7 linked regions of the Canis lupus familiaris genome follow. The protein of the gene in region 1 interacts with the protein of each later gene in a pairwise test. Links are inferred from orthologs where the notes say so. Each region holds a gene or a part of one and is shown in the gene's direction. Other genes may lie near its edges. The genes, in order: DISC1, SYBU, SRGAP3, CLU, PGK1, EXOC7 and GRIPAP1.

The links.
Region 2: the proteins of DISC1 (region 1) and SYBU interact in a two-hybrid assay, tested with the Homo sapiens proteins (2 studies listed by BioGRID and IntAct). The link is inferred for Canis lupus familiaris from reciprocal best matches to the Homo sapiens genes DISC1 and SYBU.
Region 3: the proteins of DISC1 (region 1) and SRGAP3 interact in a two-hybrid assay, tested with the Homo sapiens proteins (2 studies listed by BioGRID and IntAct). The link is inferred for Canis lupus familiaris from reciprocal best matches to the Homo sapiens genes DISC1 and SRGAP3.
Region 4: the proteins of DISC1 (region 1) and CLU interact in binary tests that used the Homo sapiens proteins (3 or more experiments, as listed by UniProt). The link is inferred for Canis lupus familiaris from reciprocal best matches to the Homo sapiens genes DISC1 and CLU.
Region 5: the proteins of DISC1 (region 1) and PGK1 interact in a two-hybrid assay, tested with the Homo sapiens proteins (2 studies listed by BioGRID and IntAct). The link is inferred for Canis lupus familiaris from reciprocal best matches to the Homo sapiens genes DISC1 and PGK1.
Region 6: the proteins of DISC1 (region 1) and EXOC7 interact in a two-hybrid assay, tested with the Homo sapiens proteins (2 studies listed by BioGRID and IntAct). The link is inferred for Canis lupus familiaris from reciprocal best matches to the Homo sapiens genes DISC1 and EXOC7.
Region 7: the proteins of DISC1 (region 1) and GRIPAP1 interact in binary tests that used the Homo sapiens proteins (3 or more experiments, as listed by UniProt). The link is inferred for Canis lupus familiaris from reciprocal best matches to the Homo sapiens genes DISC1 and GRIPAP1.

Annotation. Positions count from the first base shown.
Region 1 is NC_049225.1:8,131,258-8,135,281, reverse strand, and holds part of DISC1 (disrupted in schizophrenia 1 protein), read left to right. Parts: intron 1-827; coding exon 828-957; intron 958-4,024. UniProt on the Homo sapiens protein: Involved in the regulation of multiple aspects of embryonic and adult neurogenesis. Required for neural progenitor proliferation in the ventrical/subventrical zone during embryonic brain development and in the adult dentate gyrus of the hippocampus.
Region 2 is NC_049234.1:10,445,739-10,450,378, reverse strand, and holds the start of SYBU (syntabulin), read left to right. Parts: upstream 1-1,471; 5' UTR 1,472-1,515; intron 1,516-4,640. UniProt on the Homo sapiens protein: Part of a kinesin motor-adapter complex that is critical for the anterograde axonal transport of active zone components and contributes to activity-dependent presynaptic assembly during neuronal development.
Region 3 is NC_049241.1:8,962,507-8,967,324, forward strand, and holds the start of SRGAP3 (SLIT-ROBO Rho GTPase-activating protein 3), read left to right. Parts: upstream 1-1,824; coding exon 1,825-1,891; intron 1,892-4,818. UniProt on the Homo sapiens protein: GTPase-activating protein for RAC1 and perhaps Cdc42, but not for RhoA small GTPase. May attenuate RAC1 signaling in neurons.
Region 4 is NC_049246.1:30,160,477-30,164,500, forward strand, and holds part of CLU (clusterin precursor), read left to right. Parts: intron 1-329; coding exon 330-735; intron 736-1,835; coding exon 1,836-1,934; intron 1,935-4,024.
Region 5 is NC_049260.1:60,534,258-60,537,282, forward strand, and holds part of PGK1 (phosphoglycerate kinase 1), read left to right. Parts: intron 1-1,613; coding exon 1,614-1,728; intron 1,729-1,977; coding exon 1,978-2,157; intron 2,158-3,025. UniProt on the Homo sapiens protein: Catalyzes one of the two ATP producing reactions in the glycolytic pathway via the reversible conversion of 1,3-diphosphoglycerate to 3-phosphoglycerate.
Region 6 is NC_049230.1:5,427,971-5,431,905, forward strand, and holds part of EXOC7 (exocyst complex component 7), read left to right. Parts: intron 1-906; coding exon 907-1,052; intron 1,053-1,305; coding exon 1,306-1,458; intron 1,459-1,709; coding exon 1,710-1,808; intron 1,809-2,133; coding exon 2,134-2,196; intron 2,197-2,455; coding exon 2,456-2,522; intron 2,523-3,217; coding exon 3,218-3,256; intron 3,257-3,935. UniProt on the Homo sapiens protein: Component of the exocyst complex involved in the docking of exocytic vesicles with fusion sites on the plasma membrane.
Region 7 is NC_049260.1:42,329,551-42,333,471, reverse strand, and holds part of GRIPAP1 (GRIP1-associated protein 1), read left to right. Parts: intron 1-87; coding exon 88-183; intron 184-308; coding exon 309-365; intron 366-456; coding exon 457-556; intron 557-2,072; coding exon 2,073-2,203; intron 2,204-3,921. UniProt on the Homo sapiens protein: Regulates the endosomal recycling back to the neuronal plasma membrane, possibly by connecting early and late recycling endosomal domains and promoting segregation of recycling endosomes from early endosomal membranes.

The DNA of each region.
Region 1 (4,024 bases):
TTGGGGTATATATTTTTTTTCTGTCCAACTGCATCGAGTTAGAAATTGAATACTTTAAGGATGAATTTGTCATCCGTTAAGGGTAAATGTCTTCAAGACCCCTGCAAAGCCTCAATCAAGCCTGTGCTGCATTTCCCCCAGCACTGCTTTGACCAAATGTGCCAGCTCCTGACAGAGCCAGATTTTAAGTGGTTTTTGACAGTCTTTTAGCAAGCCTTTTCTGAGAAGCTCTGACCCCAAGCATCTGTGGATCAGTCACAGCTCTTTTTAATCTCTGCAGCCACGACCGGCCCCTGGCATTTGGCTCTGTCTGAATGATCAAGCCAGCACTGTCCAATAAAATACAATGCAAACCATAGACATGATTTCAGATTATCCAGTAGCCACACTAAATAGATGCAAGAAGAAACAGGTGAAGTTAATTTTACAATATATTTAATGCAACCCAGTTCATCGAAAATATGATCATTCCAATATGTGATAAACACAAAAATTATAGAAATATTTTGCACTCTTTGTTTTCATTCGAAGTCTTTAAAATCTGGTGTGCGTTGGACAGTGTCAGCACGTAGATAGTATATGTGATTAGGGGCCATAGGACGGGACAGGGCAGGCCTAAAAATAGCAGTTTGGCTTTGGGTAAAAGCAAAATCCCCAACAGAATGTAATTAAAACAGAAACTTACTTTAGGGACCTAGTTCCTCTGACCCGCCAAAGATGAGAACAGCTGGCGGCCACTTTGTGAAATTTCTTTCTCTGGACAGTTTTGTAGCTCCAAGGATTTCAGTTTCTTCACATCTGTATTAACATGCATATTGTACTTTAAGGGCCTGCAGTGATGACCCCCATACCACCCCCAGGATGGAGCCGAAGCTGTGGGAGCCCACTGCTCAGGACACCCTGCGTGTGTCCATCACCAGACGAGACTGGCTTCTTCAGGAGAAGCGGCAGCTGCAGGTGAGCAGGGGAAGGATGCTCAGAGAAATGAGAGCTTTGGCCAGCCACCCGTGAAGTCCAAAAGAGAGAGATGGGTGGAGTTGGCTGGAGGGCTGGTAGGAATCTCATTCCACAAAGAGGGGTTGAAAGCTCAGCGGTGTTTGTGCCCATTTTCAATATTCCTCATTACTTTTTGAATATGCTTTCCTTGTCTGCCAGGCCAATTTGTCACCTCTGATCATTTTGATCTTTATGAGGTTCTTTTGAAAGGCAGGAAGAAATGTGTTCTGTGAAAATCCTTCATGGAAAATTGTATTGAGTTGAAGTGTGAGGAGCAGTTGTCAGGGGGCAGAGTTGTAAGTGTGGGCTGGGCAAGGCTAGCGTGTCTGGGAAAAACCAGTAGATATCACATGAAAGTTCCAGATTGGCCCAGAGTGGTGGCCAGGAACCACTCAGGGGCCAGAAGTCTAGATGCAGCACAGAGTTAAGGCAGGAGGCTATCAGGTGCTCTGGAAGTGGACTCCCCCTGCCTGAGGCAGGGACCCTTGAAGTTGGGTCCATACGACCTGGAACCTACGGTCTCGAGACAGGAATGGAGGGTAACAGGGAGCATCTATGGAAGACAACGTGACTTCCAGGAAGAGTATGGGTCTTGAACACCTGAGTGCAAATCTTGGTTTAGGTTCTAAACAATGGAGTGAGTTTAGACTGTTTTATGGGCTTGGATGAGTTCTTGGACTGCCCTCCCATCCCTACCCCCTGGTTCAGAGTATTCTTATTACCTGAGCTTGCCCATCCAAGTCCCCATAACAGCAAGGTGGCAAAAGCCATCACAACTTGAAAATATTCTCCAGTAAACTGAATACGTCTATATTCAGTGAGTATCGTCCTAAAAGTTTGTGTTGTGATGTATGGGGTTCAGGAGCGAAGGGTCAAGAAAGAAATCTTGAGATGTCTTTGGTGCAAAAAGGTGGTTTTATTAAAGCATGGAGACAGGACCCATGGGCAGAAAGAGCCTCATTGGGTTTGAGGAGTGACTGATTATATGCTTTTAAGTTGGAAGGGGTTTGGGGAGAGTGTAAGTCTAAGAAATTTGGAAGCAAGGTTTCTAGGACCTTGAGGAGTCATTTACTGCTAGTAAATTCTTAGTCATGAAACCTTTCAGATGTATATCAGTGGGCCATATGTTTGGAGGATGATTAATAACATATATCTTTGTTGGGGGGTAGAGGTAAAGGAAGTTTCTGAAGGGATTTTTATATGTTAAAGAAGACTTACAGAATCCTGGAAGTCAAGCTAATGTCAAGCTGGGGTTGCTTTTTGCCTCTAGCAAAGTATTCACGTTGAGGCAGTTGAGTTCCTGGAGGAAGGTCACCCTGCTTGTCTCAAGTACTTGTCAGTGGACTGCAAAGGAAATTTGATTATTTTTCTTATATGTCTTTTGCTTTTGTTCTCCACATCACTTTGGGTAGCTGAAAATGTGAAATCTGGCTTTTGGTTTTGAACAATATTTAATATTTACAATATTAACAATATTTGAAAAATATTTACAATATTTTTCAGTAGCCTGCATAATTCCTTATGATGTCAGAATGTACAGAAAATAGTTTTAGACTGGGATACTTAGTGTTTGAGGAGAATGTTCTCAGCAGAACTCTGGGGGAACGTGAATATTCATTTATTCAGCAGGTGTTTGAATGCCTCTTATATTCCAGATACTGTTTGAAATGCTTAGGATTTCTGTGAAGTTGATGTTCTAGTAGAGGTGGGCATGGGGAGATAGATAAGAAATGGCAAACATAATTAATTCTCAAGTTACGTCCTTACTATGTTGTAAGGTGGTAAGAGCTATAATGCATAAGCTAAGATCAACCCATTGTGCAGTGAGATGGAAGCCAAGGGAGCAGCCACATGAAGGCCTGAAGTGGGGATGTGCCTCACATGTTCAGAGGGCAGCCAGCAGGCCAGGGTATGGGAGAATAGTAGAGGACAAAGTCAGGGAGAAACGTCTTGGAGGACCTTGCACACCTTTATAAGCACTCGGGCTTCTGTCTGACTGCAGTGTGGCCATTGGAAGGTTTTAAGCAAAGCAGCAACATAATCTGACCACGTTTTAAAGAATCACTTTGACTTGTGTGTTAAGAATTGGGTGCTGGACCACTGTGGAAAAGCACGGTGGGTCTTCACAACGTTAAAAATAGAATCATCATGCAATCAAGCAATTCCACTTCTGGCTATATATTCAAAAGAATTGAAATAAGGACCTCAAAGTGATGTTCAAAACAACATTTTTCACAACAGCCAAAAGTGGAAGCAACCCAAGTGTCCATCTACAGATGAATGGATAAGCCACATGTACTCCATCCACACAATGGAGTGCTATACAAACTTAAGAAGGAAGGAAATTCTGACACATGGTGCAACTTGGAAGAACCTTAAGGACATTATACTGAGTGAAATAAGCCGGTCACAAAGAAGGCAAATACTATGCTTCCACTTATATGAAGTTCCTAGGGATTCATAGAGACAGAAAGTAGAATGGCAGTTGCCAGGGGTTGGGGGAAGGATGGGGTAAATGGGGATCTGGAGTTTTGGTTTATAAGATGAAGAGGTCTTGGACGGGTGGTGCCAATGGTTGCACAGCAATATGAATGTACTTAATGCCATGGGACTGGCATTAAAAATGGTTAAGATGGTGAATTTCATGTTACATGCATTTTCCACAGTTACAAGGAAAGAAAACAATAGGATACGGGCAGAGGTGGAGGATGGGAGGTTAGTTGGGAAACAATGCCAATGATATTGTAACGATGGACCAATGGGAGACATATTATCTTCTTGGAGCATCTCAGGGGTGGATCTTCAGTCCCAACCAACTAAGTCTCTACCCTCAGCTCAAACTGGAAATGGGGTCAGGAGGTAGAAGTTTTAGGTGATCTGTACTTGGATTTGAGCGACCACAGATAAGAGATGGGGAGACACCCAGGATCAGAGCTCTGCTCTTATTAGCCAGAAACCAACGCATGGGACATGGGAGTGTGGTGATTGAAAGAGTCTCATTTTAAATTCAGAGTGCTAAGGCAGTGAG
Region 2 (4,640 bases), on another chromosome or scaffold:
ACTAATTTCTTCAAACCTACCTTCCTAGAAAAGCAGGTAGAGGGGCTGATGAATTTTTGCATTTGGACCTACAAATCAGAATGGTTTTCTTCCTAGTCCTAAGCTTCCTTCAGCCTTACCTAAAGTCAATACAAACTAGATCTATGGGGACTCCTGGGTGGCTCAGCGGTTGAGCGTCTGCCTTTGGCCCAGGGCGTGATCCTGGAGTCCCAGGATCGAGTCCCACGTCGGGCTCCCTGCATGGAGCCTGCTTCTCCCTCTGCCTGTGTCTCTGCCTCTCTATCTCTCATGAATAAGTAAATAAAATCTTAAAAAAAAATAGATCTATGTTACACTGGCTTATTAAAGCTATCTGGAGTGTTTTTTAAAAGAATTATTATTATTTTTAAGATTATTCATTTACTTATTCATGAGAGACATAGAGAGAGAGGCAGACACAGGCAGAGGGAGAGGGAGAAGCAGGCTCCATGCAGGGAGCCCGACGCGGGACTCGATCTCAGGTCTCCAGGAGCACGGATCACGCCCTGGGCCAAAGGCAGGCGCTAACCGCTGAGCCACCCAGGCGTCCCTGTTATTACTTTTAACCCAGTGGCTATTACTGCCTTTGAGTTAGAAAGCGAATCGCCGCGTTTATCCTCAGAACCAGGAAATCCAACAGAGACACCTTGTTTAGAAGAGGCGTCCAAGGTCACCGGCGAAGTGGGAAAGAGCTTGCGGCTTCAGGGTAGGTCTTCCTCCCAGGTTTGGGCAGCGTCTTGCTTAGCCGTCCCCAGGCGACAGGCTGTGGTCGCAGGAGGGCCCTTCCCCGGCAGAGGCTGTCCCCAAGGGCAGCTCAGGCCCACGCCGCGGTTGGCAGCGGTTTGCACCTGCACGCGGGGGCCGGGAGTGTTACCGGGCGGTGAAGCCCCGAGCGGACGCGGGCCGGGTCGCAGCTGCTCGGGCCGGCGGGCGCGGGACTGGGTCATGCAGGCGGCCCCTGCGGCCCCCGCGCTCGGCGGCTTCCCGCGCCCGGCGCGCACCCGGAGCCCCCGCAGTGCGCCGCCCCCGCCCCCGCCCCCGCCGGGAGCGCCTCCGGGACGCAGCTGCCGCGCCGTCCGCGCGTCTCCGGGGACCGGGACCGAGCCCGCAGGTCGAGGACCCCGGCAGCAGGCCCCCGGAGCCCCCCTGCGCGCGGCCGCCCCGGCGCCCCCGGCGCGGCGCCCCCCCTTCCCGCGCCCCGCCTCTCGCTCCGCGCCCTTCGCCCCGCAGCGTCCGCAACCTCTGCCGCGGCCGAACGGGCTGCCGAGGCCCCGGGGCCGCGGGCACCGCGAGCGCGGGCGGCCGAGCACCACGTGTCCCGCCCGGGCTGGCGCGGGCGGAGCGGGCCGGGCCCGGCTCCCCGCGCCTGAGCGCGCACCTGCGCCGCCGCCCGCTCGCGTGCGCGGCCGACCCCGGCCCAGCCGGGCCCCGGCCTCCCGGGCGCGCGTGGATGCCTCGTCCTGGACCGCGCGATGGGCCCCTCCTGGGAGAGAGAGGGTAAGACCGGGCGCTTGTGCGGATCCCCACGTCGGTGCCCGCGGGCACCGCAGGGCGGCCAGGCCTCCTGGGTCCGTGGCGAGCGGAGGATACCGCAGACCTGCGCGGGCGGGGTGGGGCGTCAGGGTGCTCGCGGGCGCACGGGAGGAGCTCGTGGGCAGTGGGCGCTCTCCGCACGGAGACGGGGTGACAGTGCCCCAGTCTGATGAGTCATGAGGTGGTTGGGCTAGGCTCCTTGCCGGGCAGGCAGGTTGACCAGGCCATAGGTTTTGGATCTCCCTTTACTAACTGTCCTCGGGAGCGGAACTTAGAAATGGTGCGTTTTGATGAGGAGGGTTTGGTGAAGAATTGGTGCTATCCAAAAAAAGAAAGCCTTTGTAGATCTTCCCAAAGACGTGGATGGCCCAAAGTCCCCAGACGACACTTTTCAAGTTTCTGCTTTCTTGGGGACTTTTCATACAAATTCTTCGAGGTGAAGAGGGTGGACCGAATTTCCACCAATATGATGTTGAAGAGCTCGGGTGATGAGCTCAAAACTCCTCAACAGGTTTGAATTTAAGATGAGTATATTGTAGAGAAAGAGATCGGCAAGCTTAATATGGCACATAGGAAGAGACTATTAAAGCTTTAAGGGGAAGGAGGCACTTGGGAAAAACTGCTTCCCTGTTGTCTTTATGCTGTTCTACAGTGTGGAGCAAGGAGTGCTCCCTAAGACAGCAGGAAACTCCACTGCTAGGCTCCTTGCAGGTCCTCTGACCCCAGACCCTGGGCTGCAGAAGCAAAGAGCAGCTCCTGTGTCAATCTCCCTTCCCAGAAAGGGCCAAATGTGAACCCCAAGGTCCAGAATCTTCAACTTAAAGTTTCTGCTGCAGCATTGCGAGCTCAGATACATAGCCAGGCACATTTTAGGAATGTTGGCTTCTTCTTCCCCAAAGGATGCCCTTGGGAGCAAAGGGAGTCAGGTAATCTCAGTGCCAGGTTTTCTCCACCTGTGCATTTGGGAGAACAGTAGCCCCTGTCCCCATGAAAGATGGATCCAAGTCAGATCATGTTTCTATTTGCTTCAAATTTTAGAGCGGCAATATATTATCATAAGGCAGCTTTTTGTCACTTAAGTTGTTTGACAATGACACTATTTTAATGCAGAATACATTTAAATACATTCAATCCTTGTTGATCTCCACATACTTAAATCATACTTTCTTAACTTGGTTTGCATTTAATAATCTTTCAAGTGATATCATAATTGAGAACAGTAATCATGTGAGTTTTCAAATGCTGGTGCCCTTAAAAAAGAAAAGAAAGAAAAGAAAAGAAAAGAGAAGAAAAGAGTCCAAACCTTCATTTTTATAGAGGAGCTACTGAGGCTGTAGAAGGGAAGTGAATTGTCCAAGCATATGAATTAGCCAGTGACAAATTTAGAACCAGCCACCTCCTGACACCCAGTTCTGTGGTTTTCTCATATTTTAGTAAAAATGTGTAAGAGATATGCATAAATAAGTAATTTTACAGACACTGATTGGCAGGTCTTAGAGATGTGTGTGATTATAAAGAGGTGTCATGAAGGAGAGCTTTGTGATGATGAAATAGTTGTGTATCTTGATTGCGATGATGGCTATATGAGTCTATATATGTGATGAAATATCATAGGTTTACATACACATTGCACTAATGTCAGCCTCCTAGATTTGATATTATACTATAGTTATGTAAAATACAGTCATTGAGGGGAAACTGGGTGAAGGATATAGGGACTTCTCTACTATCTTAGAAACTTCCTATGAATCTATAATTATCTCAAAATAAAAAGGCTTTTTTTAAAAGTACTTTTGTAAGTGCTTCAAAATCCAACACTGACTATTTTGCTAAATCTGAATTGTACACAAAATTCCTTGCTTTGCTGTATATGCTATTTTAAGTATGTAATACAAACTAATACCTGCATATTTGCTCATTTCATATTTTAAAAAACCATGTGTATTTCTAAGGTTTATCTGCTCATGCTAGAACATCAGGATATCCTGGAGATACTAAATGGCATCTTAGCAAGAGATAGTAATTTAAGGTAATTTATTTAAAATTTTGGAAAATAGGGAGAAAGTTTCACATTTAAATAGTTATGTACTAAAATAACAGGTGTTTTTCTTTCTTTTTTAAAAAAAAAACTATATGAGAAAAGAGGAGTAGGTGAGTATGGTAGGACCATAACAGTATTCCTAGAAATGCTTTCAAGGAGCTTTAACTCCTTCTGTTCTGCTGGTTCCAAAATGAACTTTTATAGCCATCAAACTTAAGTGGGAATATTTACTCATCAAGAAAGAAAAGACAGAATTGCCTGACTGGCTCAGTCGATGGAGCATGAGGTTCTTGATCTCCAGGTTGTGGGTTTGAGCCCCAATGTGAGTGTAGAGATTACTTAAAACTAAAATCTTAAAAAAAAAAAAAAAAGTATTTTCTGCATGAAAATACTGTGGTCTTAGATCTACAAATGGTCTTTTCTCAGCAGGATGCTTTCTGTGCTTCAGGAGATTAAATGGGTAGCTATCACCAAGCAGAAGTAATGAGAGGACATACAGTTCCTTTAGAAAGAAACTAATAGTCATAATAACTTTTTCTTTATGAGAATTCAGGATTACTAATTAATTAAAACATCTGAAAATTTTTTTGTGGATTTTTAGAGCTACTTCATCAATTCCAAAATGAGATATCTTTTATGGGGTGGCCAACATGCATGACAGAAGGCCTAGAACACAGTTCCAAAGGAGATGAAAAGCTAAAGCTTTGGTGTAGTCTTGTAGACTATGCTCCTTCCTTGCAGATTCTGGCAAAGGAAAGGAAAGTTCTTGTATACACACTTCTGATCAAAGAAATATCATTCATTCTCTGGCGTCCTTAGGTGGCTCAAGTGGTTGAGCATGGGTCATGAGATCAAGCCCTGCCTAAGGCTCAGAGAGGAGTCTGTTTGATGATTTCACCCTTTTTTCTAATTTATTTAAGTTTATGAAAAGCTAATCAAAGATAATGTAGGACTTTGGGCTGCGGAGTCAGCAAAGTATTTAACATGTTGGTGCATGTGAAATACAACTATGTATATACACATACCTGTTGACTCTATATTCCATCTG
Region 3 (4,818 bases), on another chromosome or scaffold:
ATCTATGCCTCTCTTCCTTCATCTGTGAAAGATGGATGCTTCTACTACATTGTTAGTTTTTTTTTGGAGGCTATCATGGGGTAATAATAATTGCTACCATTTATGGAGTGCTTATTATGTGCCTGGCACCATGCTAAGCTTAGCTTCACATTCTTATTTGAGCCTCCTAAGAGCTCTCTCTTCTTTAAGTTGCTTACCCAGCAATATTTTCTTCCCCATAACGCTTATCTTCTTCTACCATATTGTATCATTTACTCATTTTGTTTATTTTTCATCTTCCTCTTCTAGGGCCTCTTGCTTTGCCTAACTCCAGGAGGTACCATTCACTGTGCATTCTGAGTTCTGCCTTTACTGAGAATATGAACATGATTGGTGGGGATTTCTCAGAGTTGTGTAATGTGGAGACCTCGGAGCTCCAGGAGGACAGGGATTTTTTATTTTTAAATGTGTGTGCTTATTTTGATCATTGCTGTATCCTTGTATCCACAACAATGCCTGACCTATAGTAAGCTTTCCATAAATATTTGTTGAAAGAATGAATTAAAAAGCCCTTAAAGAGAGCCTGTTTTACTGGTGAGGAAACTGAGACTCAGTGAGTTACTGATTTGCCTAAACCTCCAAGAGACACTGAGGCAGCTGGGTGTTTCCAGCATGCCTGCTTTCAACAGCTTTGCAAAGCTGCATGTCTGAAATGCCTGGCATTGTCCCTGCCAGCCCGCAATTGCTCAACAAATATTAATGAGCTTGCCTACATGGGTCAGCCTCTCTCCTCTGTTAGACAATCCCTATAGAGTAACAAACTGTCACATAGCCATTACTTTGAGAAATTAAATTAAATTGCAAGGTACAAAGAAAAGGTGAACCTTTTGGAGTTATTGGAAGAAAAATTCCTAACCCGACTGTTAATGGAGTTTGCAGGGGCCTCCCAGGCCTTTCCCACCCGATTCTTTTTCCTGCTGCTTCCCCTTTTGTGAGCATTTCTTCCCCTTTTTGCTTGCAGTGAGTTCTCTTCTCCTGTAGGCTACAATGTGTCAGTTGTTATAAAATCCGGGAGGTGGAGCTTGGTGACGAGGTGGGTGGGGGAGCGCTCAGCCAGCCCTGCAGGGCGAGCAGTCCAGCCCTGGTTCACCCGAAGCTTAAACCTTGCAGCAGGAGAACTTCCATCTCGCTCTCCTGGCTTTGATCCTCACTGTACATCAGACCCGAGGCGCCGAAGGGAGGGAGGATGCGAGATGACTGGCCCTTTGGCAACCTGACCATCTCCTTAGCAGAGCTTTTGAAAGCCAGCCGGGGACTGACTGCGCGACCGCGACCAAGGAGGCGCCGCGCCTCTCGTGGATGTGTGTGTGTGTGTGTGTGGGTGGGTGGGTGAGCGGGTGTGAGTGAGTGAATGTGTGTGTATGTGTGCGTGTAGATCACGACTGTGTGTGTGTGTCCGGATGAGTGTAAGAGTGCACGCGTGAGTGTGTTTGTGTGCATGTGTGTGTGATTGCTCTTGGTTATTATTTCTGCGGAAGAAACATCTTGAAAATCTGGGACAGGTTACTGTGTTCCTAGGGTGGGAGTTCTTCTTTTGCAAGAGGAGCTGACCAGACCAAGCTCCTAGAGACATTTTTGTTTTTTTCCCCCCCGGAGAGTAAAGAGAATTTTCCTCCCGGAACGAGAGGGATTTCCCCCCCCTGGTTCTGCAGCCTTGTAAAAGAGATTAGCCCCTAAACCTGTGAAATCGACTAGAGCCTGTGATTACCAGGGCTTGAGAGAGGACTCGGGAAGAAAAAGAGAAATAAATCAAAAGCCTGTCAGTGCCTTTGGCCACGTTGGAAGATGTCATCTCAAACTAAGTTCAAGAAAGACAAAGAGATCATTGCCGAATATGAAGCCCAAATAAAAGGTGAGAAGAGGGCTGGGGAGTCATGCTTCCCCTCCCCTTTCCTTTTTCTCTTGCTTTGGCTTTCTTTTACCCTTTTCCTCCCTGCCATCACGAAATGTTGTTATGCATCAATAATCTTATTGTGAGTAGAAACAGTGGCAGCCGCACAAGTCCAGACTGGTTTCAACTGCAGAGAGCGCTGGCGCTGGCTGTATGGATTATAGAACGGGCAGCAATCACTGCATTGCAGGTGTGTGAGGAGGATCCTACGCCCGGCTTTAGGAGTGTCGCGGATACTCCATCATCTTGGCGGTGACATGTCACTCTAAGGCCATTTTGACAGTCACTGCCTCCTCCCCCCTTCCATGCTGAAAGCCCCCGAATATGGTTTTTTACGATCTGCATTTATTTTTCTTTCTTCTTCTTGGTTTTTGTCATTGCTTTCCCTTGCCTCTTTCTCTGGGCTGGAAGCCACATACATGTGCACAGGGAAGCAGCATCCCTGGGCTGCAATTCTTTGTCAGTGTTTCTCTGCTGGCCTGGGTTGCCATGGATTAACTGTTATAGGGCATATCGATCCGAAGTAATGCAGGCATTTAGGCATAAAGAGGGAGCTCGGTGAAGAAAATGTATTCTCTCACAGTGTGCAGCCCCAATCACCGGCCATCCGCTGGTGAGCGTGTGGGGTCATCAGCCCTCATTCAAAGCCAACAGCTTAGTGTGCCCTTTCGGCTGGTAGGAGGCTGGTAGGAGCTGCCTGGCTGCCGTAGTGCCTGCGGAAGCCTGCCAGCAGGGTGAGATGACCTCTGGCTGCGCGTTCCAGCTCTGCTGCCATGGGGTGCACGCTCCTCTTAGAAGCTGCTCCCCTAACCCTCACTAGCAAGGCAAGATAAGAAACCAGACACAATCAGATAAATGCAGGCGGAGTCCTCATTCACGCCAGACTGGGGTTCTCCCACCTTCATGAGTTTTAGGCTCAGCTTTGGCAAGGAAAACCTAAAAGCACCATGCTCCCCGCTTTCCCTGAGGATGTACCCCGAGGGAAGCCTGGGCCTGCGCCTCTCAGTGTCTGGTCTCTTTCTGGTTGCGGATCTCCTTGCTGCGACACAGGGTGTGTTGTGGTCTTCCATGCAAAGGCTGAAGACGGAAGATGTCTTCAGGGCATATTGATGCCTGCCCTTGAGGCTCTGGGTGGACTGTTTGAGCAAGTTGGTCATTTGGGGCCCCTGGGGGACCTGAGACCGCCACACCTGCTTTTAGGTGCTGCTGCAGCTCCGGACTCGGTGACCCAGGAAGTCGGGTCGCCTCCCCAGGAGCAGCGGGAGGCCGGCATCCACAGCTGCTGCACACGCTTCAGATGCTTGGGAACCTTTGGGAGGGGAGCAGCCATCAGGGGAGGGCTTTGTTTTTTTTCCAGTCTCGCCAAACGTCTTTTGCCTTTTAGTTCTGGTCAGACCCGGCATGCTAATCACCTCTGGGTAAACCCTAGGGCAAAATAAGCAGAAAACCCTTCTCCAGTGTTCAGTTCAGTATGGAAAACAGTGACTTAGACGATGTTTCAGCCTTGCTGAGAATTTAGGAGCAAGCCCTTTAGTGGTTAGAGATTTGAATTCACCCGACTGCTCCAATACAAAAGCCCAGGTTCAGTCTTTTGCATACACACTTTTTAGCGAGTTTGTATTTTGTAAGATGAATGTTAGCTGATTATTATTGTTCTTTTTAACTGAGGTTCCCCCAAAAATGCCACAACAGAGAAGGGGATGTTCAGTTTTGGACATTTTGGGGGTTTTCATTAGCATTGTCATGGTAGAAAATAACATTTGTATTTTGGATTTTTGGATTTTTGGATTACGACTACCACTGGGCCTGTGTGAACTTTGCTTGGGGATCAATTAAGCATTTATTCCTCTGGCTGGTTCTTTTTTTTTTTAAATACTTTTTTGCCTTTCACTTTTATTTTAACAACTACTCAGCAAGTCCAAGGTAACACATGTCAGCAGGAAATTTGTCCAGATGATCTTGTCTCTTCCAGACGCTAAAGGTCTCTACATTCTGGTTAAAGCTGTTGAATTTTATTCCTTTAGAACTGATACCCACAAGCCTTAGGTCAGGATTGTTGCTGTGCCCAAAACCGTCTGGAATCTTTTCTTTCAAAATTCTGTTTATTATCCTCCTAATTACTGATGTACATACAGGGCTCTACACTTTCTTTGGCTCACTCCCAAACGGCACTACTCTCAGCCTGCACAATGTATGGAAAGGGTTCGTGTGAGCTCTGATATAGACATGAGCAAACGGAGGCCTGATGGGTTGGAATGACTTGCCCAAGGTCACAAGGCTGGAAATGTGAAGGCAGCAGATCTTGTTTCCCAAGACATCGTCTGCCTGAAGCTGCCCCTTGAAGGATTGATGTCAGTAGCAGATGGCGGTTTTGTGGTGGGGACTGGCTGCCTCTTGATGGGGCTCCATTGTTTACTCTCTTACTTTTATTCCTTGCCTTTGTTGCTTTGCCTCTGAAGAGCGTTTGACCAATCACCAAAAATAACGCCTGATGCCAGTTTCCTTTCTCCCTGGAAAACATTTCGCCAGTTTGGTGCAAACACTTCACTTACTTAGATTTTGTCCTCTGTGAGTTGAGGGAGGCGAAGTTTTTGGTTTTTAAAAATGGTACTGAGTTCTTTGTTGACTTATTATTCTCTTTTATCTCTTTTTCAAGAATTTTTTGACCTAAGGAGAAGGTTTTAAAACTGTTTTTTTTTTTCCTATTGTAAAAAATTTCAGATCCATGCCTTCTCTTGCCTCATCCAATACTTGAATCCCTTGGATTATGTATTTGCAACATAGTAGTATATCACGTGCTTGTACATTTCCAGTGATGGGGAACGCATCACTCCCCACGCCTACATAGTCTACCTATGGATAGCTCTGGCTGTTGTAAGTGGTTTGTA
Region 4 (4,024 bases), on another chromosome or scaffold:
CATGAAGGCCTATCAGTTGGCCCCTGGCTGACTCGAGGTGTGGGGATCCTTCGTGGCCAAAGAGGAGACTAGTCTCAGGTGACAGGAGTTTCTGCATCTCTTGGCCTCAGACATCCTCCCAGGCTCTTCCCTGTTGCGTGGATAGAATGGAAGGCCATTGGGGGGCCAGGGAGCCGGTCCTAGCAGAACCTTTGGTCATGTGCTATGTGACCGAGGAGACTGAGGGGCCGCAAAGGGCCAGGACTGGCCCTTTTCCACGAGCAGGAAGTGCAGGAGGCAGCTGGGACCTAGGCGAGCTTCTCCTAACTTCCCCATTCTGCCTGTGACAGCTCGAGGAGTTCCTGAACCAGAGTTCTCCCTTCTACTTCTGGATGAATGGCGATCGTATCGACTCCCTGCTGGAGAACGACCGGCAGCAGACCCACGCCCTGGACGTCATGCAGGACAGCTTCAACCGGGCATCCAGCATCATGGATGAGCTTTTCCAGGACAGATTCTTCACCCGGGAGCCCCAGGATACTTACCACTACTCACCCTTCAGCTTATTCCAGAGGAGGCCTTTCTTCAATCCCAAATTTCGCATCGCCCGGAACATAATACCTTTCCCTAGATTCCAGCCCTTAAACTTCCATGACATGTTTCAGCCCTTCTTTGACATGATACACCAGGCTCAACAGGCCATGGATGTCAACCTGCATAGAATTCCTTACCACTTCCCAATTGAATTCCCAGAAGGTTAGAAAGCTGTCTCGTTTTTCCTAAGATGGGATGGGAACTAGCAGGTTATTGAGAAGCCTGTTAGATTCTAAGAACTATGCTAAGGGCTTGGCGTGTTTCATCTCAGTTTACGCCAGCAGTCCCATGAAGGTGGTATTGTCTCCCTTTAAGGAGAAAAATATGACAGAGAGATGATGAAACATGTCTGACCTGGTAAAGGCGGACCCAGTCAGAATTAGCCCTGCCGGACTGGGAATCTGTGTTCTTTCAAGTTTACCATGCCCCTTCCAGCAACTGGTAGGCAGGGCATTGATTACTCCTTTCTAGAGAACCAGACCCTTTGTCTTGGCAACTCAGGTGACTTTATGGGGATGCCATGCATATAGTGGTGACAAATTATATAATCAATCCATGTTACAGTTTAGAAAGCTGTTCTTGGCTATGACCTTGGGGCCTGGCAGAGAATGGGCATGCATGAATATTTTTTGAATGAATCAGGTCTAATACAGACATGAAAAGTTAATACTTTTAGAGGTAATTTCCTTCGTTGAATTAATAGACATGGTTTGCTGACACTGTCTCCTAAATACTACAATTTGACTGGCACCAAGTTTGGCTTGAAATTGTTTGGAAGATACAGGAGGACATTGAATGGAACAGCATCTACTGTGTATCTATAATTGAGGGGGAGCCTTGTGTTACAAGGAGGCTCTAAGGAGGATCCCATTCCTGCCTTCAAGGGGCTTGCTGATTGGCTAGGGGGAGAGAGATGAGCCAGATAGAATACAGAGCACACAGGGTTTTAATGCCAAAGAGAAGTGCATATAGCTATGGCAGTGTGGAGGTAGGAAGGTCTCATCGGATGGAGATGGTGGGAGGTGAGGCCATACCCAGCTGAGGGATCCCCTGGAACCACCTCCTCGTCCCTCTGCAGGGAGCCCTGATCAGCGAGGCCTGAGTCTGCAGGTAGACAGCTCATTTCCAACCTGCTCTGCCCACAGAAGCATTTCAAAGGGGCAGACGGTAGTGTGGAAGGGATCAGAGGGGTGGCCCATCATTATGTTGCTCTGTGTGGTGCCTCAGCATAACTGACTCCCTCTTCCCTGGTGTGTCTCCAGAAGATAACCGCACCGTGTGCAAGGAGATCCGTCACAACTCCACAGGGTGCCTGAAAATGAAGGACCAGTGTGAAAAGTGCCAGGAGATCTTGTCAGTGGGTGAGTTGGGGAGCTTTGGGTCCCTGGTATATCACTGGGGCTCTCCTTAGAGGATCAGACACATGGGACTTGAAATTCCAGCTGCGCTGCCTTCTAGCTGTGGTACTGGGGGAGGTCCTTGGCTCTGCTCCATGTGGGCCCCCATCTGTAGACAAGGGTTAAGATGTATGGGTGTCCCAGAAATTGGGGAGATACCTTTTTTTTGATTTTCCTAGCTATTCTCTTCCCAAGAGCTGAACCTGGTAGGCCTCCTCATTTCTTCCTGTAGATGATGGAATCTTAGATAATATGCAATCTGTTAACAAACACCATGACACTGTGAGCACTGTTCGCACTATTGTTAAACACTTGGCAAACATTTACTCATTTCCTCAGAATGACCCTGAGTTGCATACGGTTCCAGTGCCTATCTTACAGAGGTGAAAAAGCTCGTAGTCACAGGAAGGTTGGGTAACTTCCCTAGATTATAGGATGCCTTGGAGAGCTAGGTGTTGGGGATGTGTTCTGGGGTCACTGGTAGTGGTACCTTGGCGTCCCAGCAAAATACCCTTTGGTTGGTCGGTCCCAAAAGCAAAGAAAATAGGGTTGACCATTGAACAACGAGGCGGTAACAAGCCATCCATAAACATGTATTTCATATGTAACTTGTATTATATACTGTATTCTTAAAATAAACTAGAGAAAAAAAATCATCAAGAAAATCATAAAGAAGAGAAAACTATGTTTACAGTACTGCCCTGTGAAGAACCCGCGTCTAAGTGGACACAGTTCAAACTGTGTTGTTCGAGGGTCACCTGTACTTCCCTTCAGCTGTTCCCCCCTCAGCTTTATCAGATCTGTTCCTTGGCTCATTTCTTCCTACTTTGAGTAGCAGCTGTCAAAGCCTCTGCAATGGCTCCTGGCACACAATAGTCTCTGTTCCAAAAGAGTTAATTATTTTCCCTTGGACATAGCAGATCAATCTCGTGGCTTCGCTCTTACTCAATACGCTTGGGTTTGCCAGGGCAAGCCTTCAGAGTCTAGTTAAATATTCCTAGCCTCACGCCTATAATTTTCAAAGCCACTGCAAATAAATACAAGTGCTGTGAGGGGCCGATGGATGAGGTGTAGATGAGTCCTCAACCAAACCTCTTGGGTTTTCCTCCATCAAATATCGTAGAGTAGCACAGATCACACAGCTTCTCACCACAAGAAAATCATGTGTAGGGCCAGAAGATTAGAGGCACAGATGCCCAGGCTCAAATTGGCACTCCCAGCGCTGATCTTAATGGTCCTGGATCACAGCTTTCCTACACTGCCTTCTCTTCTACGCTGACCAAGAGTTACTGTCTCTTATTTAAGATGCGAGCAGCCAAATGAGCACGCACCGCATGAACGCTCTAGACCAGGGTTTCTCAGCCTCGGCACTATTAACATTTTGGACCAGATTGCCTTCTTCTTCTTTTTTAAGATTTTATTTATTTGAGAGAGAGAGAGAGAGAGAGCATGAGCGAGGGGAGGGTCAGAGAGAGAGACAGACTGCCCGCTGAGCAGGGAGCCCGATGTGGGGCTTGATCCCAGGACCCCGGGATCATGACCTGAGCTGAAGGCTGACAAGCCACTCAGGGACCCCCAGACTGGATCACTTTTTGTCATGAGGGGCTGTCCTGTATGCTGTGGAATGTTTAGCAGCACCCTTGGGTTCTACCCTCTACGCACCAGTTGCCTCCCCTCCCCACCAGTTGTGACAACCAAAACTATTTTCAGACCTTGCCAAATATCCCCCTGTTGGGGGGAGGGGGCAGCAGAGCCCCTGGTTGCGATCCACTGCTCTAGACTGCGTCTCGGTTCTCAATGACTTTTCTCATTTTTAAATTTTTCCCTGGTGGAAGAGTTAAGGTTATTCACTATGTTATCTTTTTTAACCTGGCTTTTATCTTTTGCCCCAGCTAACATTTTAAAAATTCTAACACAAATGATTAAATTTACTAGGACGACTTATGGTAACCCTTTATAGGAAATGTAACATGCAAAGATCTTTTTTCCCCTGGCTTGCTAGGGTCTCATGTACCATCCTCGGGACATTTTTGAAAAAATTAGGGAATGAAAAT
Region 5 (3,025 bases), on another chromosome or scaffold:
GCTGAGCCACCCAGGGATCCCTATCAGGAGTATTTGTAAGCAAGTCTTAGACATATAATTTCACTTAGTAGTTCTGTATGTATCTCATAACTGATAAAGAGATTCTTTTTAAATAACCATCATGTTATATCTAACACAATTTAACACTTTTGTTAGTGTCATCTAACATTTAGCCTGTACTCAGAAGTTCTTTGTCATCTCAGAAATGTCTTTTCATAGTTGGCTTGGTTGAATAAGGATCCAGATGAAGTTCATGCATTGTATTTGGTTGTTAGGCATTTTCTATTCTGTAATAGTCCCCCTTTTCTTATTTTCATTCCATTGATTTGTTGAAGAAGCAGGGCATGTGAGCTGTAGAATGTCTATCCCACATTTTTTTAAAGATTTATTTATTAGAGCATGAGTATGTTCACAGGCAAGAGGGTCAGAAAGAGAGGGAGAGAGATCTGAAGCAGACTGTGCTGAGTGTGGAGCCCAACACTGGACTTGATCTCATGACCCTGAGATCGTGACCTGAGCCAAAACCAAGACTACTTAACTGACTGCCACCCAGGCACCCTGAGTTGTGGGACAGTTTTGAGTGGGCTCAGGGATCCCATGATTAGCAGTCTTGCTCAGGTATAATTATCTGTCTTGACTGTGGTTTCTGTGTGGAGAGTAGGGGCAAAATAGATGTATTTGGGTCTCATGGTTTCTTTAGACAATAGTAGGTCTTCTAAGTCCTTTTTGTCTAGGATTGCACCTCTAAGAGATTTTCTTAGAAACAGATGGGCCTTTTGGTTGAAGAAACATGGGGCAAAGTTAGCCAGTATGTTTTTTTCTTCCAAGTTTTTATTTAAAATTATTTTCTTCTAAGTTTTTATTTAAATTCCAGTTAGCTAACATACAGTGTAATATTAGTTTCAGGTGTAGGATTTAATGATTCATCACTTACATGCAACACCCAGTTCTCATCATGTGTGCCCTCCTTCATACCCATCACTCAATCCATCCCCTTACCCACTTCCCTTCTAGCAACCCTCATTTGTTCTCTGTAGTTAAGAGTCTGTTTTATGGTTTGTCTCTCTTTTTTCCCCTATGTTCATTTGTTTTTCTTAAATTCCACATATACGTGAAATCATATTGTATTTATCTTTATCTGATTTATTTCATTTAGCATAGTACTTTCTAGCTCCATCCATATGATTGCAAATGGCAAGATTTCATACTTTTTATGGCTAAGTAATATTCCATTGTGTGTGTACACACATATACATACTCCACAACTTTATCCATTCATCAGTCAGTGGACATTGGGCTCTTTCCATAATTTGGCTATTGTTGATAATGTGGCTATAAATATTGGGGTGCATGTATCCCTTTGAATCAGTATTTTTGTGTACTTTGGGTAAATACCTAGTAGTACAATTGCTGGATCATAGGGTAGTTCTATTTTTAACTTTTTGAGGAACTTCCATACTATTTTCCTGTGTAGTTAGCCAATACTTTTGTAACTTGTGGGACATTTCTCTGTTCCTATGCCTTGATATAAAAACTCAGGCACTATGTAATATCACTTCCTTAGTCCATCATTTGTTCTTTTGGTGATGATTATTGATTGCTTTCCCTCCTAGAGCTAAAGTTGCAGACAAGATCCAGCTGATCAGTAATATGCTGGACAAAGTCAATGAGATGATTATTGGTGGTGGAATGGCTTTTACCTTCCTGAAGGTGCTCAACAACATGGAGGTAGGAAACCGATGCCAAGTGGATGTGAAATGGCTCTCCATGAGAAATATCAGGTTATGTAAATTTAAAAAGAAAGTCAGCTTCTGATGTGAGCCCTCAAAACTCCTATTCTTACTTATTTTGGAAAGTTGGTATCTTTTGTCTTGGAATTTTTTCTTTATACTGTGTTGTATCTTATTCCTGTCTCCTTTGTGAGGTAATCATGTTCTTAGTATAGAGGCTGATCTTTATCTTGGCTCCCTTGTATAGATTGGCACTTCTCTGTTTGATGAAGAGGGAGCCAAGATCGTCAAAGACCTGATGTCCAAAGCTGAGAAGAATGGTGTGAAAATTACCTTGCCAGTTGACTTTGTCACTGCTGAAAAGTTTGATGAGCATGCCAAGACTGGCCAAGCCACTGTGGCCTCTGGCATACCTGCTGGCTGGATGGTGAGTCACTTTGGGTGGGTTGGTAGTACAAGTGAACAAAAACATTTTTATTTCATTCATTCTTTCATTCTACCAACCAGCAAGGATTTTAAAAGAATCTCTACGGGAGATCTCGGTCAGAGAGGGCTCCAGATGTAGCATTGAGGCCTTCTTCAAGAGGGAATCTGAGGGGGAAAAGCATGATTGCCTCTGTCTTCATCAGTAATGTGGGGGCAAAACCATTTTTTGTTTCTTTTATTTAATGTTTGTTAAATACTTAACTATGTGCTGGGGTTGGTGCTATGTACTTTCATGATTTGGGCTGTTCTGGATTATGTTGTTACCTAGAAAGCTGTATAAGAACTCTAATGAAAACCTTAAGATAGCAGAAATATGCTGATTATAAACAGGGAAAAAATGTATGTGTATAATAAAGACTAAATATTTGGCTGCAATGTCATGTACATATTGTCGTTTTAATAGCTGTATAAAACTGTCATGTTGATATACTAGTTTGCTTATTTTCCTCTTATTAAGCATGTGGGCATTATTTTGTTCAGTGTTTCTCAAAGTGTGGTTCCAAGAAGAGCATCAGCAGCATTTTGGAACTTAAAAAACATAGGTTTCTGGGCCCTATCCCAGTCTTACTGAATTGGAAACTGGGTGTTGGACCCAGCAATTTTTTGCTATAACAAGCCCTTCTGGTGATTCTGACACATGCCAAAGTTTGAGAACCACTGAGTCTAGATAATTGTTTCTCAACCTTGGCACTGTTGATGTCTCAGATAGTTGTGGGGAGCCGTCCTCCACATTGCAGGATGTTGAGCAGCATCCCTGACTCTGTCTCCTATATGTCAGTAGAACTTGACCTCCCTCCTCAAATTGTGAC
Region 6 (3,935 bases), on another chromosome or scaffold:
AGTCCCCGGAGGGCTCCGCTCTGAGGATGAGCCAGGCCTGTTTGCCTCTCTCTCTCTCAAGTCTCTCTTTTGGGCACTAGGTCTCCTTGTCTCTCTCCAGATGGGAGTGTATGCCTGGCTCTCAGGGCCTGGGCCAAGGGGAGAAGTCGCCGCTACTTGGACGGCGGCTCCCTGGCGGGCAGGGAGCCCTGACATCTGACTCCACCAACAGCTCTAAAGCTCTGACTCGGAGCCCGTTTCTTTGCTTATGGGACCAGGTTGCCTGCGGGTGCCCCCTGCCCCAGCCTCCACTAGTGGGTCCCAGTCTCCTTTTGAGCCAGCTGACCAGCCAGGAGCCCTCCTTTTCTGGGACTCACATTGCCTCTTCTCAGAGTGTAACCCTGTGCCAGCTAGCCTCATAGGCCATAGTCCACCACTGCCTTCTTAGACATTCCAGAATGTCTGGTGGGGCTGAGAACTGCCCTCAGTGACCTAGCATTTTCTCAGATGGGTGACCACAGTGCCCTTGAGACAGGCACTGCCTCTCGCCCACCCTGGCCACCCTCTTTCTGGTGCAGTTCAGAATCCTAAGTCCTGGGGTCAGGCATACCGTGGCTAGGAAGCCGATTTAGGGCTCTTCCCTCTTTATCCCCTCATCGATCTCCCTACCACCTTTAGTACCTGATGCTCTGGGACGTAAACACTGTCCAGCAGAGCTGAAAATGAAGCCAGGACAAAGGCTGGATTCAGCCCCGTTTTTCCTTTTGAGCAGTCAGGCCTGCTGGAATCCTCTCAGCTTTCTGCCAGAATAGTCCTCCTCCTCCCCATCTCCTGCTGGCCCGAGCTACAGGCCAGGAGCTGGGGAGACCCAGCAGGGAGAGCGGCTTCCCGCAGGCCAGCAGCTCAGGGGCACTGCTGTCCCTCCAGGGAGAGACGACACGCTAGATGTGGAGACCGACGCCTACATTCACTGTGTCAGTGCCTTCGTCAAGTTGGCCCAGAGCGAGTACCAGCTGCTGATGGACGTCATCCCTGAGCACCATCAGAAAAAGACCTTTGATTCTCTGATCCAGGTGCTGCCCCGCCCCCACCCTGCTCCTGGGTCCTGACCAGATGCCCCAGCAGAAGCTGCCACCACAGAAGCTCACGTTTGGGACAGACCTGTTGTCCTGTAGCCTTCAACTAGAGCCACACAACTAGTGTGTGTGTGTGTAGGGGGGCGGGGGTTCCTCCCCATTGCTGCCCCCTGCTGAGGCAGGGGCCCCTGGGAAGCCGCTCACACCCCTCTGCCCCCCTGTGAGCCGCATCCTTGCCATGCTCTCCCAGGATGCACTGGACGGGCTGATGCTCGAAGGGGAGAACATCGTGTCTGCTGCCCGCAAGGCCATCATCCGACACGACTTCTCTGCCGTGCTCACTGTCTTCCCCATCCTGCGGCACCTCAAGCAGACGAAGCCCGAGTTTGACCAGGTGCTCCAGGTATGTGGGTAGGAAGACCCGGGGACACAGGGAGGAGGAATCGTGCTGCCTGGCATGGCCTCCCAAGGGGTGCAGCTTCTCTGCCCTCATGCCTCCAGTCAGAAGGTGAGCGGAAGCAGCTTCTACACGGGGCCGCAGATGTAGGCACACACTCACAGGGTGACCGAACAGGAGTGGGAGCCCTGCAGTGAGGGGCAGGGAGGCAGCTGGCGGGGAGCCAGGCTCAGCTCTGCAGCCGTGTGCGTCCTTAGGGTACAGCTGCCAGCACCAAGAACAAGCTGCCCGGCCTCATCACCTCCATGGAGACAGTTGGAGCCAAGGCATTGGAGGACTTTGCCGACAACATCAAGGTGCTCTCCCTCTCCATCTGCGGCCCTAGAACTGTGGGCAGGACCCCCAGGGGCCTGCCTCGGGGGCTCCTACGGAAACCAAGCCACCCAGCTAGCCCATTGACTAGCTGGCTGTGCTGCTAGTCAATACCCAGGGGGCTCCAGAGCCTCTGAGGGGTGAGGCTGCTGCCCTATTTTTCCTGTCCCATCTCTCACCTGTGTGCCTGAGGGGCACCCCAACACCTCTCTGCCAGGAGGTGGCATCGGGTGCAGACAGCCTGGGCCCCGGGGTGGAGCGCAAGGCCTTGGAAGCAGGTTCAGGAAGTTGGGACTGTTTTTTCCACAGAATGATCCAGACAAGGAATACAACATGCCCAAGGATGGCACCGTGCATGAGCTCACAAGCAATGTAGGTGCTGCCCCGGGTTGCCTGGGGAGGGGAGGGACCCAGCCTGGCCCAGAGCTTGTGGCAGGATAGATGGCAAAGTATTTCGTGTCTCCAGTAGACTGGATCATTCAGGGCAGGAAGCTTGCAACCACTCTTCCCTTGGCAGACCCCAGGCCCTGCACTTGCCCTGGAACGGTCAGAAGGGGTGTGTTTGGGAGGTGATCTGACTCTAAGGTCCTGCCCTTGACCTTCTCCCTGGACCTGTTTTCTCCCCACACAGGCCATCCTTTTCCTACAGCAACTCCTGGATTTCCAAGAGACAGCCGGGGCGATGCTGGCCTCCCAAGGTACTTGGCACCTCCCAGTGGGGCCCCCTCCCCATACCCCACTCCTCCCTCTTGTCTGGAGACACAGGGTTACTGGCCACCTCTGGGAGAGATTTCCTCCGGCTCTGTGAAGTGGGGTTTGACTGTGCCTTTCCTGACCCGACCTCCCTCCCTTCTCGCTCCTTCCACCGTCCTCGCTCTGGAGAGTGGCACTCCCTGGTTCGAAGATGCCCTGCCTGCCTCGCCCCTCCTTCCGCATTTCTCCATCTGCTCTTGGGTTCGCCTGTCCTCCCGATTAGTCTCACACAGCTGACCGTTCCGTGGGCTGGCGCCTCAGGGCCAGCCGGGTGTCTTCCCACTGACTGCTGCCCTGGCATTGGAGCTGGGGAGGTTGGCATGGAAGGAGGTTGGCATTTCTGAGCACCAAGACCCAACCCAATTTGTTGGGGCCCCCGGGCCCTCCCCCTCCCTCCATTTTGGGGGCGAGGGAGCCAGGAGCGGCCTCTGGCCTGCAGTTCTCTAGATCCCCACTTCGCTGCGTGCTCCCTCACCTTCCGGGGAGCAGCCTGGGTGTGTCCTGCTGTCTGTGTTCTGGCTGTCACGGGGAGGGGTCTGCTTGCTCGGGGACACGGTTGCTAACCTGTGTTTGCACTTTGCGTCTTTCTCCCTTCTTTGTCTCCCCTTCCCCTCTGAGTGCACTGCCTTTCACTCCGTAGTTCTTGGGGACACATACAATATTCCTTTAGACCCCCGAGGTAAGCGGCAGGGCTCTACAGCCCCATCCTACCCCTCTGAAACCCCATGGGTGAGATTCCTTAGGGACAGAGGCACCCAGACAGACTCAGGACCTATTGGGAGCGGGGATCAGAGGGGATGTGGGTTTCTCTAGGGCACTCCCAACTCTCTCAGCTCCCAGCAAGGCTGGCTGCACCCTCCAGGCTAGCCTAGTGCCTGCCCCCTCCCTCCCCATATACCCTCACCACCACCTCCTTGGCCTTCTGTTTGTCTAGAGGGGCCCAGTAGAGGAGGTTGTGGGAAGTGGGGGAGAAAGGGGAAAGGCCATAGGGAGCCCACTCTGAGACCCTGCTGTTCACAAATATGATAAGTGGACCTTATAGAGAGCACCTTGCATTAGTTGGGGCTGGGGGGAAAGGGGTGTCCCACTCCTGTGCCCCCAGACTTCCTGCTGATCATGGGCCAGCTCATTAATCCTGCCACCTATCACCATAGAGGGGCTTGCCCTGGGCTCCAGGAAGAGGCTGCCCAGGGGGTGCTCCTGCAGCAGGTGGGAGCTTGGCAGCTCAGCAGACCAACCCCTTCCCCGTTCTGCGTCCAGTCTGCCTGAGGAAGGCTCAGGGCCCCCCCACCCCCACCCCAAGGTTTCCACAGCTGCTCCAGGGGCTGAGGGAAGGCCAGAGAGGGTCCTGGCTGCTG
Region 7 (3,921 bases), on another chromosome or scaffold:
GGGCTCTGGAGGGGGTGCCGAGCCCTGGGGGTGGGGTGGGGAATGGATGTTTCCCAGGCAGAGGCCTAGCTTCCTCCTGGTTTGCAGAGCAAGGAAGAGGAGCTACAGGGCCTGCGGGATCAGCTCCAGCAAGCCCAGGAGGAGCGGGACTGCCATCTGAAGACCATCAGCAACCTGAAACAGGTCACTTGCCCCTCCAGGGGCCCAGACACACCCTGGGCCGTGGTGTAGTCACAGGGCAGAGGTAGGGAAGGCCCAGCATGCAGCCATCCTGGCAGCCTCTAGCTGTGCATTTCGTTGGCCCACAGGAGGTGAAGGACACAGTGGACGGGCAGCGGATCCTGGAAAAGAAGGGCAGTGCTGCGGTATGATGGGGAGATGGTCAAGCATGCCCCTGCCTCCAGCCTGTGGGACCACTGGGCCTCAGCCTGCCTCTGTCGCCCCTATTCCCCACAGCTCAAGGACCTCAAGCGGCAGCTACATCTGGAGCGGAAAAGGGCCGATAAGCTGCAGGAGCGGCTACAGGACATCCTTACCAACAGCAAGAGCCGCTCTGGTGAGGGGCCTGGACTCAGAGGGCAGGACAAGCGAGGGGTGGGATCGATGGGCAGGGGCGGGGGCGAGGGGCGGGCTTGGGCCCTAGGGCCAGAGCTGCTTCCTGCACCTGCTATGCTGGGCTCCCCTGCACTTTCTGCCCCTCTTGAACTTGGTCTGTCTGTCTCTCTTTCTCCTGCTCTCTGCCTTGCCTTCTTCCGTGTCTCTCCTCTGTTTTGATCTCTCTGTGCTGTGTCATGCCATCTCTCTCTCTCTCTGTCTTTCCCTACTTTCTCTCTCCTTTTCTTCTGCTGCTATTTTCTTCTTTGTCCCTTTAACACATTCTCTCTCCCGTTCATCCCCCCATTTTTGTCTGCATCTTGGCTGGATCTTCACAACCCTCTCATGCACATCCCCACACCTCACCAGGTATCTCTAAATCCCCTGTATCCATTCTCTCATTCTGTAAATGTGGACTGAGCCCATGTGCTCACATCTGGGGTCCTTGATAGTAAACCCCCTGAAATACTGTCCTCCAGGAGCTCCTAGTTGAGCTAGGGAGACAGACTTACATTCAGATAGCAACACTGTGGCGTTATCACATTCAGCTAAAATCCATGTTCTTTCTGCCACTCTAGGCAGAAGATAAAACAAAAAACCTTGGGTTGCTTTGGACTTTTTTAAAGAAGGAAATGGCCTATAAATATGTTTAAATAAATAGATATAATGTAGTGGTGAGGGCTCTGGTGCATCTCCCATGTCTCAAGCTCAGAGAAAACTTGCTCCCTTGTCCTCCCCCTGCAGCCATAAGCTCTTGCTGGAGATCCTTGGAGAAGGGATGTCAGCCCTTCTCCCGGATACCGGGAAGCAGCTGCAAGAGTGGAAACCCAAGCTCAGTGGGCCTGTTTTAAGTGACATGGCAAAAACGGATGCATCTCTCACTCCATCTCTGTGTCTCTGAGGCATTCTCTCTCCTGAAGTCACCTCCCTTTATAAAGGAGTTTTGTTTCTGTTTTCTACACATTAGTGTACAAATCAACAAGCAGATTCCAGTGGTCCTTGTCCATAAAGAAATGCCGATTTAGGGTCACGTTTACATGTCTGTCTCCATCTTTTCTCCCCCCTTGTCTCTGCTCGGACTTGTGTCCTCTCATCTGCTGTGGCTTGCTGTCTGTCTTGGTTTCTCTTCTGCGTGTGGTCTTGCCCCCAGGCTCTCTCCAGCCTTGGGTCCTCTTTGTATGGACCCCGAGTCTGAGTGCATACATCCCTTGATGCCCATATGTGTCCACACTGCCCACTCCTTCCCAGCCTCTTCACCTTTGTTTCTCTTCTGGCAGATGCGTTTGCCCAGAGAGGCAACTTTTCTTTTTTCTGTTTCTGCCTCTCCTGTCATACTGTCCATTTCCACCTTTCCCATGCCCCAGTGTTACTTTACCTCATTCCATCTCTGTCAAATCTATTTCTGCCTCTTCCTGCCAGTCGCTGCCCTGGGACCCTAGGGGATTGGGGCTCAGGTTTCTCTTCCTTCTCTACCCAAGGCCTTGAGGAGCTAGTTCTCTCAGAGATGAACTCACCCAGCCGGACCCAGACTGGGGACAGCAGTAGCGTCTCGTCCTTCAGCTACCGGGAGATTTTGCGGGAGAAGGAAAGCTCCACTGTTCCAGCCAGGGTAAGGGGCAAGGAAGAGCTGACAGCCCAGCTTCCCCTACCCAAACTCTGGGATCCTCCTTAGGCCCTCCCTTGTAGCCATCTGCCTCTCTGGGCCTAGCATACACATTTTCTTAGCAACTTTTCTCTAAGCTTGACAGCTCAGATTCAGATTGCCAAATTGAGGATAAGCAGATTATTCTCTCTGTCCCTCTGCTCTCTTATCTGTGATGTGAGCTAATTCCACCTTTCCCGCTGTCATAAAATATGTAGCTTATAGCAGGTGCATGATCATGTAGGAGGTCCTTTTATCCAACTCACAATTATCACTTGCTTACTTTCGTCTATTGTGTCAGCTTCCTGGCCAGCCACTTTTATTTGGAAATCCATAAGTAGTATGTGTACCGTGTAGAAAAATTTTAAAAACACACACATGCAAGTTTTTTTTAATCCAAAGAAACTACCTCTTCACCATCCAGAGATCACCACTATAAACCCTTGGTTCAATACCCTTCTAGATCTTGCTCTCTTTCTTTTTCAAAAAGATTTTATTTATTTGAAAGAGAGAAAGAGCAAGTAGGGGAAGAGAGAGAGGGGGAATCTCAAGCAGACTCTGTGCTGAGTATGGAACCTGACGAGGAGCTTGATCTCATGACCCCGAGATCATAATCTGAGCTGAAACCAAGAGTCAGATGCTTTAACTCACTGAGCCACCCAGGTGCACTTCTTTCTTAAACCTTAATGAAATTATAAGTAACCTGTTGATCAGCTGATCTTTATCCTCCCAATTTCTTAAATTTTTATCTCATCTAGTACTTAGACCTTAATCGTATTTCTTTGGTTGGCCCTAAAATGTCCTCTATTGGGCAGCCCCGGTGGCTCAGCAGTTTAGCGCCGCCTTTGGCCCAGGCTGTGATCCTGGAGACCCAGGATCAAGGCCGCTTCGGGCTCCCTGCATGGAGCCTGCTTCTCCCTCTGCCTGTATCTCTGCCTCTCTCTCTCTCTCTCTCTCTCTGTGTGTGTGTGTGTGTCTGTCATGAATAAATAAAATCTTTTTTAAAAATGTCCTCTAGGGATCCCTGGGTGGCGCAGCGGTTTGGCGCCTGCCTTTGGCCCAGGGCGCGATCCTGGAGACCCGGGATCGAATCCCACATCGGGCTCCCGGTGCATGGAGCCTGCTTCTCCCTCTGCCTGTGTCTCTGCCGCGCTCTCTCTCTCTCTGTGACTATCATAAATAAAAAAAAAAAAATGTCCTCTATTGCTAGTTTTATGAAAATCAGCATTCAGTTTCAGAGCACATGTCACATCCGGTTGCTTTATGTCCTTTAAGTCTCTTGAGTCTAGTGTGGTCACTTTGTTTTTCATGACACCAACCTGTAGAAGAAACCCACCAGGTGACCTGCAGAAAGTGTCCCACCTGTTGTGTTTTCCTGCTGGTTTCCTAGTGGTATTATTTAGCTTGTTCCTCTGTCCTACGGTTTTCCTGTCAACTGGAAATAAAACCTCTTATGCTACAGCCTCTCCCTTCATCCTCTCAATGAGGAAATAATGTGGTGGTTCCTTTTTTTTTTTACAGATTTTATTTATTCATGAGAGAGAGAGAGAGAGAGAGGTAGAGGCAGAGACAGAAGCAGGCTCCCTGTGTGGAGCCTGATGACGGGACTTGATCCCAGGACCCTGGGATCATGACCTGAGCCAAAGGCAGATGCTTAGCTGCTTAGCCACCCAGGTGCCCCAAAG